2 linked regions of the Caenorhabditis elegans genome follow. The protein of the gene in region 1 interacts with the protein of each later gene in a pairwise test. Each region holds a gene or a part of one and is shown on either strand. Other genes may lie near its edges.

Region 1 (7,717 bases):
CAAATAATTTTTAGAGTGTTTTTCTTAAAAAAAAAACAAAAAAAACTAAATGAGAAATAAATATTTTCGAATGTTAGGAAGTCTGAAAGTACTAGAAATAAGTTTTTTTTAACTGTTTAAGATGATGAGAATACACAAAAGAGAAACATATTTTTTGTACTGAACTTTTCTAGTATTTTCTGAAAAAAACATTAATGTTTTTCAAACCTAACTATAAGACTTGGAATAATTACTGCGTTCAGTGTTTTAACTGTTCTACGAATTTTCTTTTTGTTAAAAAAAAATTATATAAAAGTTTCTCATATGTTTCAAATTTCCAAGTGCCACTTAAACTTCTTCACCTACCCAACTGACCACTACCTATTATTTCCCCCCAATTCAGAAGTATTTTCTCTCTCTTTTTTCCTCTATATTCACCTCAAAAACTAGTAGTCGTTGTATTTGGGCAAAATGTCCTTTCCGTTCTTCTGTCCACTACCACCACGAATACCCTCAACACTCACTTTATTCCATTCATTCTTCCCGTTTCGACGATTCGATTCACACATAAATTATAGTATACATACTTGAACCAAAAAAATGGAAACGGGGAGGAACGGGTTCGGATGAATGACTTTTCACACTCCTTTTCCTTGAGAAATGACAAATTGGAAGACTCTGTGAGCCAAGATAGGCGGAGCTTCGAATTATTCACCAACTTTCTTATTTCTTTCTTAGAAATTCGTTTCTTAAATTTTTGATCTTGACAGACAGCTGAATAACCTAGTTGATTATGGGTATCACGTTCTGTTATCACTATGGTTACTTTATTTTGTTTTTCTTTTTTCTTCCACTTGGCGTCACAGCCGCTATAAAATTTATTATTCTAGCAGTTGGCTCACTTCTTCATCTAGATCATGAAAAAGTGCTTCTTTTGTTGGTTCACACATTCAACTTTTTGTCATTTTATTTAGACCGCATTTTGCCACAAAAAAATTACAAAAGTCGGATAATTTGTCAATGTTCTACAACGCATCTATTATTTAAATTTGTATGCTTGTTTTTCTAAAAATTCGAATTCCAACCTGTAATCACTCTAAAAATACCTGAACATTGAAGCATTGGAGCATTAACTTCCTCTAAAAAATGGCTTATTTTCCCCTATTTCTCTATTTCTCTCTCGCGTTACCATTCATTTTTTATATTTCTCACCTGATATTTGCTCTTGTACCGGTAGTTCCAACATGTACATACACATTCATTTTACAGTCTTCCTCGCACATTTTAACAGTTTTCCTTTCATATACGAATTCCTCCATCTTTTTCAAATTCCCTTTTTATTTTTTCAAACCGTCGTCCTTTTTATAGCTTTCCCACTTTCTTCCAAATCAAATTTTGAAATATTTCAGAGTTTAACTCTCAATCAAATCGAAACGAACGATCTTCTAAAACATCATTGGGCTCCTGAATCAGAACCACGACAGCGTCATGACCGACGTGTATGAGTCGCCTGCCCGCGAGGTATGATTCTTTTTTCCTTCATAATTTTGCAAAAAAAATGGTATCTATTTTTGAAAAACTAATATTGACTAATTTTCTATTAGGCAGAACACTGCTCATCTCCTAATATTTGTATGACGGATTGTACTGGTATTTTTATATGTTTTGACAAGGCTTCCCAATTTACAAAAACATAAAAACAGCTAGCTATTAATAATGAAAAATTGTTTGGATCTATATTTGTTGAAAATATTTTTTACTGACATTGAAATTTCAAAAGTTGTCAAATTGTAAATGCTCATCGTTTGCAAGACTATTCTTATTGTATGAAAAAGTGAGAAGCTGCAAAATTCCATTCAACAAAAAAAACTACTAACATTTTAATATTTTCAAGACTCCAAACTGTAAGAAAATCTAGCTCCACACTCAAACTAGGCCATGTACGTAAAACTAGTATAATTTACAGTTGAGTCATGTAACATGTATTCATAGTTGCATTCATTTGACTCATTTACCTCGTTCTCCCCCTCCCTTCCCATTTCCTTCAACTCTGTTCAGTTTCCCGAGTACACATTGAATCTACCTGCTCCTGAAGCTGCGCCTCTCATCCTCTCGGGCTATTTTCCATTCCGTAAAAGTAACTTGAGCCTTGTTCACATAACAACAAAATGCGGGGCAAGATAGAATGTTCGCATTTCAATTGTACTAGAGACCTTTATCTTCAAAGAATAGTTTTGGTTTTTTTTCCTGTTTCGTAAAGTGGAATGAGTGTTGTCCCCAATCCATCTCAAATTATACTTCATCTTACGCTCATCCACTTTTCACCCACTTTTCAGACTCTTTAAATGACCATCCTTTTCTCTTTTTCCTTTTATTCTTATAACAATAGACGTGATTCTTTTAATTTGTGGATTTGCCGGTGCCGCTCCTAATTACTGTATACTTCTCACTAATACTAAAGTTTAGCAATTAAAACTATTAACTCAAAAAGAAGTAAACCTATTTTCAAAGCATTCTTCCCAATTCAGAGTTGATGAAAAGCCACAAAACAATGGGATCACTCGAAAAAATGTGTTTCGAAGAGCCATGCATTTTGAGCTCTTAGAGCTAAATCACAAATCATTGAAGGTTCTATGTATGAACATTGAATAAATCATTTCGATTTAGGGAGACTATACGTTCAACTTCCTCTTTGTACCAACTTCAGTATTCGCTACAGATTTTTGGTTCCTTGTTTCACTATTGAAAATTTTAATGTTTCCAATTTCTTCTACAAGAAACATCATGACCCCATAATTCACTTCCTAATCGTCTAATCATCTCCTCTTATCACAAGAATTACTTGGGTGTGACTGGTCATTTGAAATAGCTTTGCAATTGTTTTTTCTTTGCTTCTCGAAACCCGTCAAAAAACTATCGATTAATTGCGCTCAATAGAAGACGTACAAAACAAGTGAACACATACAATGACTATCCAAAAACCGGATTCGCTTTCCCTCTCTTTTCACTTGTGATTTCGCAATTCTTTCATCTTCAACGTCTTCTTCTTCGGTTGTTTTTTGTATTGAGGGTTTACAACCTCAACCTGATGACCGTGGCTGAAAAGATAAACTGGCAAAATTGAAGAGACTAGTTGAAGCTAGAGAGACGCAGGCCTGAAAGTTGAAGAAGGCGGTTCGAAATTGATAACAGTCTCTTCGTTTTCTCATTTCTTCTCAACACAGTACAATTTGCCGCATTCACTCGTCTGCTACTATTACCTTCTGAACTATTGATTTGGTGGCATTCTGTCACTCATTTATTTCTCCAACAATGACTACTGAATTCGTGTCAGAAGAGGAGTCCAAGTATGCGGTAAGTACTCTACAATATTGACATTAACGGAGGGAAATTGATTCCAATGGGGTTAAGTAAAGTCAGTCATACAAGTTTGCACTTTAGTGATTTTCTAGGCAGCTTCACAAAATAGCATTAAAAAATGCATTTTAAACATCTAATCGTTTTTTCATCAGAAACATGTGAATTTCCAGAGCCTTCTCCTTACCATTTTACATAAAGGGCGGCGATCTTTAACCAAATTTTTCTCATTAACGATGATATTGTTTTTTTAAATAGCTGAAATGTTGAAAATAATACACCTGAAAAAGAATCCTTCAAATTATTCAGCTTTCACAATAAATAAGGACAGTTTATTTTATTTATGCTTCAAGGGACACCACATTTGCTTCTTTTGATTTGTTGTATGAAAAAATCTAAAAACGGTTCTATCAATCTTTTTTGAATGCATTTCATGCGACAGTAACCTTTATAATCGTTCATATTTCCCTCATGTCAATTTCAATGTCCTCCACTTTTTTCCACCTATTTGGGACAGGGATGAGTCACTGAAAAACTGTCTTCCCACCTTTGAAAAGACCATCCCCTACAGTGTTTGCTCGCCGTCTCTAAGTCTCTCCAATTTGTGTACTCTATTCCAAGTGAAGCTTTTCCACTCGAAAACCGTATTTCGATACACTCCTTTTTCTTTCTCAGATGCTGAAGCTGAAGACCCATGTTCTTTTCCTTTTCTATGACATTATTCTAGCACATAATTATAGTGTCAAAAAAGGGAGAAGTGTCTAGAATTCACATGTCACGTGGAACATTATTTCAGTTTTCACCTAGAAGTTCCCACCAATTTGTGTTGTTTGTCAAACAACTTTTGTTGATGATCTCTGATGATCTACTCTGAACTCTGTATTTTTTTTCTGTCTAAAACGTCATAGGAAATGAGTCAGTTGCCACGTCACAATAAAAATGGGAAAAGTATCGGAATTTTTTGGTTCTAATCTATTTGTTTTTCGTGTAAGAATGCTCATCGTCTTGTCGATCTTTTGATAGGAAGGGAATATAAAAAATAAATAAAAACAACTTGAGAATTCAACAGCTGATTTTTTCCACAAGAATTGACTAAATTTATAGCTATATAAAACGAACTGCCATATTGGAATACAAAATCTCAATTTTTGACAAACGTGATAAAGAATACGGTCAAATTTGGCAAACTTGCGGTATTTTCCTATCAACAACTTTGTTTGTGGAATTAATTTTTCAGGTTTCAATTGCATAATCTTTATATTCCGTTAGCATCAAATTCAGCGCAATTTTTTACGTCACACGGTTTTCAGAGCTATAAAAGTTTTAATATTTTTAAAAATGATCTTTTATAATTTCTAACATAATCATTCTCTTTTGAAAACTTGAATACAGTTTCAGAGAATTTCAAATTTTTAGAAAAATCATTTACATGAATTATTTATGGAGAAAAAGTTATCTGCAAATTTTACCATCTACATGTTGTTTCCATTAATAAAATGTACGTCTGTAAATTGATTCGCGCACGTTTCTAGTGAAGCTTCATGATGTAGTCCGGTTCCTGGTAAAATCCCAACAAACCACTTACCGTAATCCTCACGCACTTTTTTCTTCTTCCACTGTCCATTTTCTTTCCTCAAAAAAGCCTTGCAAACCGTTCGAGGCTTTTCCGTGTGCCGCTCTTTGTTATCCACTCGTTTTTCGTCATATTTCTCTTCATCTTTTCCACGCAAAAAACGTTTGTCTATTCTGTATGCTTATGTATGTTTTTGTTCTCTTCCGGAATATAGATGAACAGAGAGAGGCAGAGAGAGTCCGCGGAAAACCGTCGGCGGAACGACAAATACGTCGTTTTCCGGACAAGGCAGCCTTTTTGCCGCAATCGTCATTCCCGTCACTTGATATCTCTTGTATTGCCCGAGTTTAGTCTCTTTTCAAAAAGAGGTGAACACTGTCGTCAAGTATTCCCAGTTCTGTGAATTCATTATTTTTGTTATTTCTTTCTTTTGATAATTAGAAGCTCGAATGTTCCAACTATACGAGGTGAGATTTTAGATATCTAGATCACGCAGTCTAAGTCTTGTTTCAAGCATTATTTTTGCATTTGAGACTCAAAATATAAGACTAGATGGTGTACGGTTTAATCGAAAATTATGATATTGAAACTCCAGACACTAAGAAACTACTATCTACTTTATCAAATTTTTGAGCAATTATCGAATGATTTTGATGATAGAAAGCGCCAGTAGAAAATTCTATAAAACCTTCTTAACTGACCAAATACAGTTGCAAAATTTGAACTGAAATTTTTGGACTGAATTACCATGATCAGTGTACTTCAAAAAATTCCAACTGATACAACTCCACTTTCAAATTATATCGTCCAAATAACATTTATTTATTTTCTACGCTCATTTTCTGTCTTTCGTTATTTCCAAAAATCGAAAACTTCAGCAGGGAAAATTGTTCTCCTCGCTACTATTTCTGTTCAACTAAAACTGATCTCTCTGATCCGTTAATCTCTCATTTTCCGGTGATTTCACACTCTGTGTGCCGTGGTCTCAAATGTCGTTGTTAGAGATTTTTGAACTTTTCTATTGAATCATCTGTTTCAGATTTTTTTTCTCATTTTTGTTCCTCTCTGTAATGACAAAGCTCGTAATGACGTGAAAGGTTTCGGTTCCATTATGAGTCAAGAAATGAAGTGCTTGTTCCCTCCCGCCCCCTCTCTGGAAAAGTGAAGAAATTGAGTCATTCCGAGCAATATCTGCGTCTCTTATCACTCTTATCGTCGCCTGCTCAGGTGGCACAGAAACTTGTCAGAAGAACATGACAAGACATGACATTTTATGAGCTCTTTTCTAACATATTTGTTAGAGGGGAACTTTGTTTTAAAACTACAACGTCCTTCGAGTACTTAGGTATTTAGTTTCATTGACTCACATCATTCTACATTTTTTTAGCTCTAAATCCCACGTGCGTCATTTCATAGCGTCTGCTCTGTCCGTATCCATAGAAACCGCGAGGAGCGGCTCAGTAGAAGCAGGGACAGCTTAAAAATAAATATTATTCGAGGCTGAAGAGATTCAGAGTTCGGTGTTTCGCAATCCGCTCCACCTCTATTCTCCCACCTCTTTTAATATTTTTTGCCTAGTCACCACTGCCACACTTCAAAATTGAAGAATTCCAGAAAGAGCATTATCTGATTGATGTGAGTTTTGAGTTAATACATATAATCTTTTTGTAATTGTATGTTGTAATTGTATCCTTTAATTAGCAAAAATTGGTAAAAAACAAATTTGAAATCGTCTTCAGATTTAAAAAAAATTTATGATACCTATGAGTAATATGTTCTGAAAATGATCTTCAAAGAAATTTTAATTTGATATAATCAAATTAATTTAGTTTAATCTTGTCTCTAATCCCATGTTTTCCACTCCCTAAATCGGGGCAATTAATCCGGGTAGACCAGTTCAAATCCCTTAACAACTAGAATTTTTCGTTTTTGCCTTGTTCGTCATCTCTTTTCAAAAAAAAATAGTTGAACGAAAAAAGTGCTTGTAAATACGACATAATGCTCTTCTTTCTAACAATAGCTGCTAGTACTCCAACTAGAGCATTGGGCTTCACAGGAAGTGAGCACAATTTGAGCAGCTGTGCCAACCTGGCTTCCGTTGGCCCCCACATACGCCACCTTTCCCAATTTTTTTTTACTTTTCCAGCTTTTTTGGAGGAATTTTTCAAAGAATTAAAAGAGATAAGATGGAAGAACGGAACTAGAAAATGTTGAGAAGATGCTAATTTGATACGGTTTCCGCTTGTTCCATCCATTTTTCCTCCTCCTTCTTTTCTATTCTTCTCCACTCATTCTCGATCAGTCAATCACTTCTAATTTCATTTACATTTTCGTTCGTTTCCTATAAATTCTAAAAGAAAGACAGAAAATATTCACTTATTTGAAACGCTAACTAATCCATAATTCATTTCCAGGACTCGCCTATGCGATTACAAGGCAGCTCGGCGAGCAGCGCGTCGGTCGCTTCCAGGTTATACGGAACACGGTCTCGTAGAGATAGTCTTGGTGGAAGCTCTTCAGAAAGTGATTTAATTGCATTTGGAGGTGATCAGGACGCTCTCAACGATTTCAGTTCACAAGTGAGTTATCAAGTAAAATGTAAAACATTTAAAAATTATTTTGAATACATTGGAAATGTACAAAAATAAATATTTTAACGTGCTTTCCTTATTCGATGGATTAAAGTTTAATTAATCATTTCAAATTAAAAACATTTCTTTGTAATCTTGTTATGGAGAATAGATGTCTACTTGAAGCAGTGAGCATTTTGTGTCAAATTCCATGTACTATTTTACAAATTCTATCATA
Region 2 (7,717 bases), on another chromosome or scaffold:
CTCGCCGCGATAAATTTCTGTTAAATGAAAAATCCTTAAAGGTACATACCCTTTTGCAGTTATTGAAAGACCGGGTGCTATGTTTTTGAGGCAAATATTGTGAAACTTACGAATAGTTTGAGGTTTTTTTCAGAGTTGAATTTCTTCCAAAAAATCTGACCACATATGAGATTTTTGAAACGTTTAAAAATTCCAATTTTTCCAGCCGCCATAATCCCCGGAGTGCCCATCAATCCTGGAAACGACCTGTTCAAACTTTTCGGACAATTCCTCGGAGCTGGAAATGGAGGTGGCGGACTCAATTTTGGATAATTTCTCTTCCCGCAATCTCATTGTCTTTATTTTTTACTACGAGGTATTGAATTGTTTTTTAATTTTTTAATTATAAAATTTTTCAAAATGAAGATTTTTTCCCCAAAAAACTCAAACATCAAATTAGCTGCCCATTTCTATCTCTTTTCCTTCGAAAAAGTTATGCCCTATGCCATCTATCTAGTCAACAAAATCAAGTCAACCCGGTAGAACCGTTAAGACAAAACTATCTAGAGAGAGACTGTGAGTGAGTGAGAGAATCAGAGAAATGGAAGATGTTTTGGTTGGGCGAAGAAGAGGACAAGGACGTTCGGGAAAAAACGTAACGGAAAAATTGAGAATTCTGTAACGAGACGCAGACGGTTAATTTCGGTTTTCGGACTGTTTTTCGGTCAGGAAAACGGAAAAATTGGAAAACGGAGAGAGAACTGTCCTTGAAACCGTTTTCAAATGCCTAGTAAGAATTCAGTATAAAAGGAACTCGAGCGACGGAATTCGTCAGTCGGTACAGCAATGTCCGCTTCAATCAAATTTGCCACCGGGGCAGCAGTGCTGTCCGGTGTGACTATTCTTGCTTGTCTTTTCTTTGCCGCCCAGGTCTTCAATGACGTCAACTCTCTCTATGATGAGGTTATGGTCGATATGGATGCGTTCAAGGTAGGTCTAGGATCCAGGAGCCTCATGGCCGCTCAATAGGGCTTACCAGGACCTCGTCCACAGCGCGAGGTGCACAGTCAAATTTCAAATTTCTAGGTTAAATCCAACATTGCCTGGGAAGCCATCAACGACGTGATTGCACCAAACCGTGAGAAGAGAGGATACGCTCAATATGGAGGAGGCGGCGGATATGGAGGTGGACACGGAGGAGCCGCCGTCGGAGGTGGATATGGAGGAGCTGTAGGAGGAGGAGGCGGTGGAGGCTACGGTGGAGGACACGGAGGAGGCCATGGAGGAGCCGTCGGAGGAGGATACGGAGGTGGTGGCGGCGGAGGTGGTGGATGCCAATGCTCCCCAAGCTCCAACACCTGCCCACCAGGACCACGTGGACCACCAGGACAAGCCGGACTTGATGGACTCCCAGGAGCCCCAGGACAACCTGGATCAAACGGAGGAGCTGGATCAAATGGAGCTTCCGAGGGAAGCGCCGGAGGATGCAAGACCTGCCCAGCCGGACCACCAGGACCACCAGGACCAGCCGGACAAGCAGGACGCCCAGGAAACGACGGACAGCCAGGAGCCCCATCATTCGGAGGAGGTGTCGGAGCACCAGGAGCCCCAGGACCAGCCGGAGACGCCGGATCACCAGGACAACCAGGAGCACCAGGACAGCCAGGACGTCCAGGAAAGAACGCACAAGGAGGATCTTCCCGACCAGGACCACCAGGACCAGCCGGACCACCAGGACCACCAGGAAACAATGGAGCTCCAGGAGGTGGATACGGAGTTGGACCACCAGGACCACCAGGACCATCCGGGCGCCCAGGAGCCCCAGGACAGCCAGGACCAGACGGACAGCCAGGAGCTCCAGGAAACGATGGAACCCCAGGAACCGACGCTGCCTACTGCCCATGCCCAGGGCGTGGAGGAGGCGGAGGAGGATATGGAGCCGGTGCTCATCACGGAGGACCACAAGGATTCTCCCGCAGAAAGGTTGCTCGCAAGGTTCTTGCCAAGAAGCGTGTTGCCGTTCAACGTAAAGCTGCCGCAGCTGCTCGTCACGCTTAAGCCTACTTTTTTCATTCAAAATAAACGATTTGCATTCAAAACCTCCAAATACATATTTACTGGCACTCAAAAATATTAAAACATCAGAATTTGTTCAGAATCACTATCAGAATCATAGTTTCTCACAGAAATCACAATCAGGTACTCAAACATGTTATCACTCTTTGTATTTTGTCTCCGGCCAGTTGGCGTCAATATATTCCTTTAATTCCGGCAGGTTGCGCATTCTGAGATAGTACTCGCGGAGTTCGGGAAGATTGTCGAAGACACCGTCGTCGCTCTGGAAATTAGTATAGAGGTCTTTTTAGGGCACGATTGGAGTAAGTCTGACCCATTTACAGCAAAAGTCGTCACCTTTTTGACGCACTTTACTAAGGTTCTAGAGGGCGTAGGCTTCCAGCTTTCTAGCGCAGAAGTCTCCCATTCTCACCTCATCCAATGCCTGCAACACCCCAAGAATGTAGACATCACACCAATGGATCGATTTTCCCACGAAGTACTCTCCTTTGCTTTTTTTCAACAAATCTTGCATATTTTCCAGCTTTGGACCAATGGACTCTTTGTAGGTCCCCATCATGGAATCCTAAAGGAGATAAAATTGGTTTTTATAGTAGGTATAGTTGCTACCTTGATGGGATCCGGTGCATACTTAGCCATTGCGGCAAGCTGGAACAAATCAGCAAACCCATCAGCCATCATGTCCACTTTGGCCGAATCGGTTTTGGTAGCTCCGCCGAACCATCTATCCGGCTGAATTGACTTTGCCAGGTAGCGGCAAATAGATACCGTCTGACAGAGAGTAGTCTTTCCTCCATCGATTTCGATAAAAGGGAGCTGTTTCATTGGGGCTTCTGGAAAGATTCATCTGACTGAAAATTTTCCAAAAATTTTTAAAACTTTCCATAATTTTCCTAATGATTCCGAAAGTTTCCAGAAGTATTCGAAAATTTTTAAAAATTTCCAAATGTTTCTAAAAAAAGAGAAGTTCCCGAAAGATTTTAAGAAACTTCAAAAGATCACAGAACATCACTTACAACATTCCTAATTTTTTTGAATACTTTCAAGCAATTCCCAAAAAAAAAGTTCTAGTAGCTTCCAACAGCTTAAAAAGTTTCCAACTTTCCAACAAAAAATTTTCATTGGTTTCCAAAATTTTTTAAAAGATGCTAGATACTTCCGAAATATACAATCAGTTTCCAGAAATTTCTTGAAATCCTCAAAATTTTTTGGTAGTTTTTAAACGGTTTCAAAATTTTTCAGAAATGCTGGAAATTTCCAAATATTTCCATAAAATTCCGTCAAGTTACCAAAACTTTTCATAAATTTTCCAAAAAGTGTTCGATCATTTTGAGAAGTTTTTGCCAAACTTCACAAAAGATTCAGAAGTTTCCAAATGTTTCTAGAACGTTTCAGAAAGTCACAATAATTTCCATAAAACTTCAGAACTTTCTGATATTTTCCAAAATTTTTCAAATGGTTTCAGACGTTTTGAAATAATTTGAAGCGTTTTGAAAAGTTTATAAAAGTTTGAAAAAAAAATTCCAAACATCCCCGAAGACAGGATTCCAGAGCACTTTGAAATTTCAAAAAAATTGCTAGGTTTGGTTTCTAAAAATCTGAGGAAGTTTCTGTCACCTACTATCTTTCATAGCTCCAGTGAAGTCTCCTTTATCCATTCGGTAATCTTCAAAGTCCACACCAAGAAAGCTGTAAATATATCAAGATCAGAATTTTTTCAACTTCTCCACCTACTGAAAAACCAATCTAATTGGCTCGGCGCGTCCTCTCATATTGACGTAATAGAGCTTGTAGCGATGTTTTTGGTCGGGAGACATGTTGAAATTGGAAATACTGAAAAAAAAGTTGTGGACGAAATGTAGAGGAGTTAGGAGAAGAAGAAGAAGCCGGAGGGGAACAAGCCAATAATCAAAAACACGTTTTTTTTGGTTGTGGTGTGGTGCATGAGCCAGAAGGGGAGATGGAGAAGGGAGATTTATAGTGGATACTCTCTTTGCAATAGATGGAAAAGGTTGAGAGAAAAGCAGACAGAACGAGAAATGGAGGAAGGGATAAACGAAGAAAATTAAAGGGAAAATGAATGGGAAAATGGATAAAGTAAAAGACAATAGGCACGGGAAGGAAGGGGGAAAAAGAGCACCAAACATCACGAGAAAGTTAGAGGTAATGGAGCAAACTCCGCGCATGCTTTGATGCACTTGGGCCCTTCCACTATTATGCTATTATGTTTCAGAAAGACTCAGACAGTTCTAGAAAGTTTTAAAAAGTTTCAGAAAGTTCAAGACAATTGAAATTTGATGAAATTTTCTAAAGCTTTCTGAAGTCTTCTAAGACTTTCTAGAACTTTTTGAAATTTTGTGAAATTGTTTTAAAAGTTTTCTGAAACTGTCAGAAACTTTCTGACAATTTTCTACAAGTTTCTGAAAACTTAATAAAACTTTCCGCAATTTTCGGAAATTTTCTGAATTAAAAAAATTTTTCTAAAATTTCAGCAAATTTTAGAAACTTTTTAAAGCTTTCTAACAGTATCCTGCATATTTTTTGAAAATGTTCATCATTGAACAAGTTTTCAAAATTTTGTTGTTATTCAATTTTTAGTTTTAAAGTTTTTCCTAAAAAATGAGCAAATTTTTAGTTTTTATTAATTTTTAAAGACTGTAATAAACGATATAGAGTCCTAGAAATTTTTACAGACACTGAAGAAAAAAATCTTCAATTTCAAGCAAAACAAAGCCGACCAAAGAAACAAAAAAAATAGAGCTATTTGTCTTGACTGCTAGCTATCCCAACCTATATATTAAGCGTATATATGCACATCGTCGTCGTGACAATGTAGGCGGAGCCAAGAAGGCGAGCTCGTTGAGCCCTCCCCGGTGAGCTGCTTCTTCTCAAAGTACACGATGACAATTGGGGAGAGTCATGTAGCCCAGACACATGGACTTTGGTCGTTTTTCTTGGAGTATGTATATTCATATATAAGTACGTTTATTATTCATCAAGTAGTAATGAGAAAGTAAAATAAAGAATGAAATGTAAGGAGAAAATGAGTAGGGAGAAATTGAATGAAGTTTGTATTTTTTTTCTCTAGTATGGCATTCCACTAAATACATGAGTTTAAAATGTTATAACTCGGTTCATTTTAGAGATATCAATAAATAATTAACTACGAAACGATTGAAAAAGAAGTAACAAATATTTTGTCGATGGACAGTTTTTGCATAGGACACACGATAACTAAGATATCAGTTGTCAAAGTTTGGGGTGCAAAACTAATAGGAAAAATACATAGACTTTCAATGGATTAAAACTTTTCTTTAAAGATTAAAAATTAAGTTCATTAAAAAAAAATTTTAAAACACAGGTCCAGAACTTCCAGTCCTTGTTGTCAACCTCGCCTCAACACCGACTACACTAAGGATCGGACGAAGAGTCGTTGTCCGATTGGAGCCAATTCTGGCCTTATCTCTAATGATACGTGGCACCAAAAGATCGATGACCCCTCGTCGGACGGTCTTGTTCATTGTGATGTACACGATGCAAACGGATCCTGAAATATTAGAGAATTAAAAAAAATTAGGTGTACTCCTATAGACCTGCACGGAGGAGTCTTAAAATTACCGAAAAAAAGTTATTTTTTTTGTTGAAATTTTCATTTTGATGAATTACTATTGGTTTCTCCTTCTACTTCAACGAGCTCAAAATTGTCATCATCTTCGTGCTTTTTCATTTTTTTTTTGTCATCCCAATTATTCATTCGTATAGTGAAATTCACATGAAGTTACATTTTTCACAAAAAAAATGCTGACAAAAAAGTGTGTTTTAGCAACGAGTTTTTGTTCTCACCGTGAGCGCACTGCCATGCAAGCTGTCCAACAAGCACAACGGCTGGGGGAGAATAGAAGAATTGCATGTAGACATAGATGTAGGCAGCGATTGCATTGAAAGAGCAGATCAGGACGGATTGGAAGAAGATCTGGAATCAGTTGTTTGTCATGACACTGAAAGATTCACAGTTAGCCTTGAAAAAAGTTGTAGTGGTTGTGGTGAAACAACTGAAAGTTTGATATAACTAGGTCCAAAGAAAAGGAAAATACCAGCTCGACCATGCTTTAAACTTTGAATTGCCGCGCAAATTCTTGATGTTCTAGAATGTTTTTTTTCTGGATTTGGCAGAATTTTCAAGCATGTATCAAGTTTTAGTTAAATACACCAAGAATGTTCTTCAGCTAACAAAAATAAAATAACATCACAACGTGGAACGCTGATTTTGAGCCGGTGTTGTATATAAGTTGTCATATAAGTTATTTAACCTTTTTTGTATACTATGCATACTATGCATACTGTTATTGTATATATGCCTTTTTCCTTTTCATGTTCATTTATAATTTTTTGAGGCGATTTCCGGGCGAGACGGGCGGGCCGCGCCTCCATGCACAGCACTCCATAACTGCTAATTTTTTTACCTGAGTCTGAGTTCTTGAAATCGACTCTGAACGGAAATGTTTGCTCTTGGCGAACAATAGAATGCATAGATACGAGTATATTGCTGTAGTTGCCAGGGAAACAACACAGTTGTTGATGGTATGTGCGATGTTTATGTAGTCGGTCGCCTGAAATCGTATAGTTTTTTGTTATTATTGCCCAATTCCCCCCTATACCTCGTGACCAGGGAGCATTGGATTAAAGAACCAGCTCATATAGTTTGAATTAAATATAACGGGTTTGGTGAAAAATATCGAGTAAATTGTAAAAAGAATGGGGACAGCTATAGTGAGGTAGATTTTCCGGCCGATGAATATGGTGCGGATTCGGAGATGTTGATTAACATCACAACATCGATTGATTCCAAGAAGGATACAGGTAGCACAGGATCCCATCCAGCATCCTGAAATATTCCTATAAGTACTTTTCCAAGAATGGGCTAACATACCACATCCAAGAGAGCCCATCATGAAAATAAATTTTGGGTACGAGCAAAATGTTGCTCCCATTATTCCAAGGAAGCCGGTAGCAATAGAATTGGTCAAAATGCATCCAATATCCAGAAATCCAAGCCAAACCATGATCTTATAACAAGAAGACTTCATTAAATCGCTTCTACTAATTACTATAAGGCATGGGATGTAGATCATCTGAAATGCGATGATAAAAGCGGGAAAAAAGTTTTGAAAGACATTTTGCTTTTATTTTAAATTGTCTGAAAACTGTTAGAATAGTGCTAAAATTAATGAAAAAGGGATTGAAAAAAAAAAACTTGTTTCGTTCAATCAGGAGTAGACAGCCAAATGTTTTTGGCAATTGCTAATTTTTTAATGCTCCAGCAATTGGCTAAACTGAAAATTTCCGGCGAATCTGACAGTTACAGATATTGTTAAAAATTTTCACTACTAAATGTAATTTAAATAACAAATTCCATAGGTTTACGACGTACATTGTAGCCTTTCTCTTGTAAGTTGTCAACTTTCTCTAGTACGCTGTTAACGTACTGCCGCAAATTGCCAACTTTCTGTCGCACATTAGTAGCCTTGCAAGAAAGTATAACTTACTAATAAAATAATTCCCATAGTTAGAAAATATGTTCCAATATATTGTCTCGGTTGTCCAATTGCAAATCCATCAACTCCGACACAATTATAAAAATGGGGATGTACATTGAAACCAT

The links.
Region 2: the proteins of rfip-1 (region 1) and gst-40 interact in a two-hybrid assay, tested with the Caenorhabditis elegans proteins (one large-scale study listed by BioGRID).

What each region holds. Positions count from the first base shown.
Region 1 is NC_003280.10:5,883,164-5,890,880, forward strand, and holds the start of rfip-1 (FIP-RBD domain-containing protein), read left to right. Parts: upstream 1-3,204; 5' UTR 3,205-3,291; coding exon 3,292-3,333; intron 3,334-6,296; exon of another isoform or gene 6,297-6,544; intron 6,545-6,960; exon of another isoform or gene 6,961-7,100; intron 7,101-7,323; coding exon 7,324-7,488; intron 7,489-7,717.
Region 2 is NC_003282.8:756,773-764,489, reverse strand, and holds gst-40 (Glutathione S-transferase), read right to left. Parts: upstream 3,989-7,717; 5' UTR 3,873-3,988; coding exon 3,790-3,872; intron 3,745-3,789; coding exon 3,677-3,744; intron 2,889-3,676; coding exon 2,665-2,888; intron 2,621-2,664; coding exon 2,468-2,620; intron 2,318-2,467; coding exon 2,195-2,317; 3' UTR 2,071-2,194; downstream 1-2,070. Other genes in the region: F56B3.2 (EB domain-containing protein), read left to right, coding at 206-312; col-103 (Nematode cuticle collagen N-terminal domain-containing protein), read left to right, coding at 826-969, 1,066-2,037; srt-23 (Serpentine Receptor, class T), read right to left, coding at 5,406-5,602, 5,899-6,028, 6,519-6,665, 6,714-6,940, 6,986-7,187, 7,602-7,717.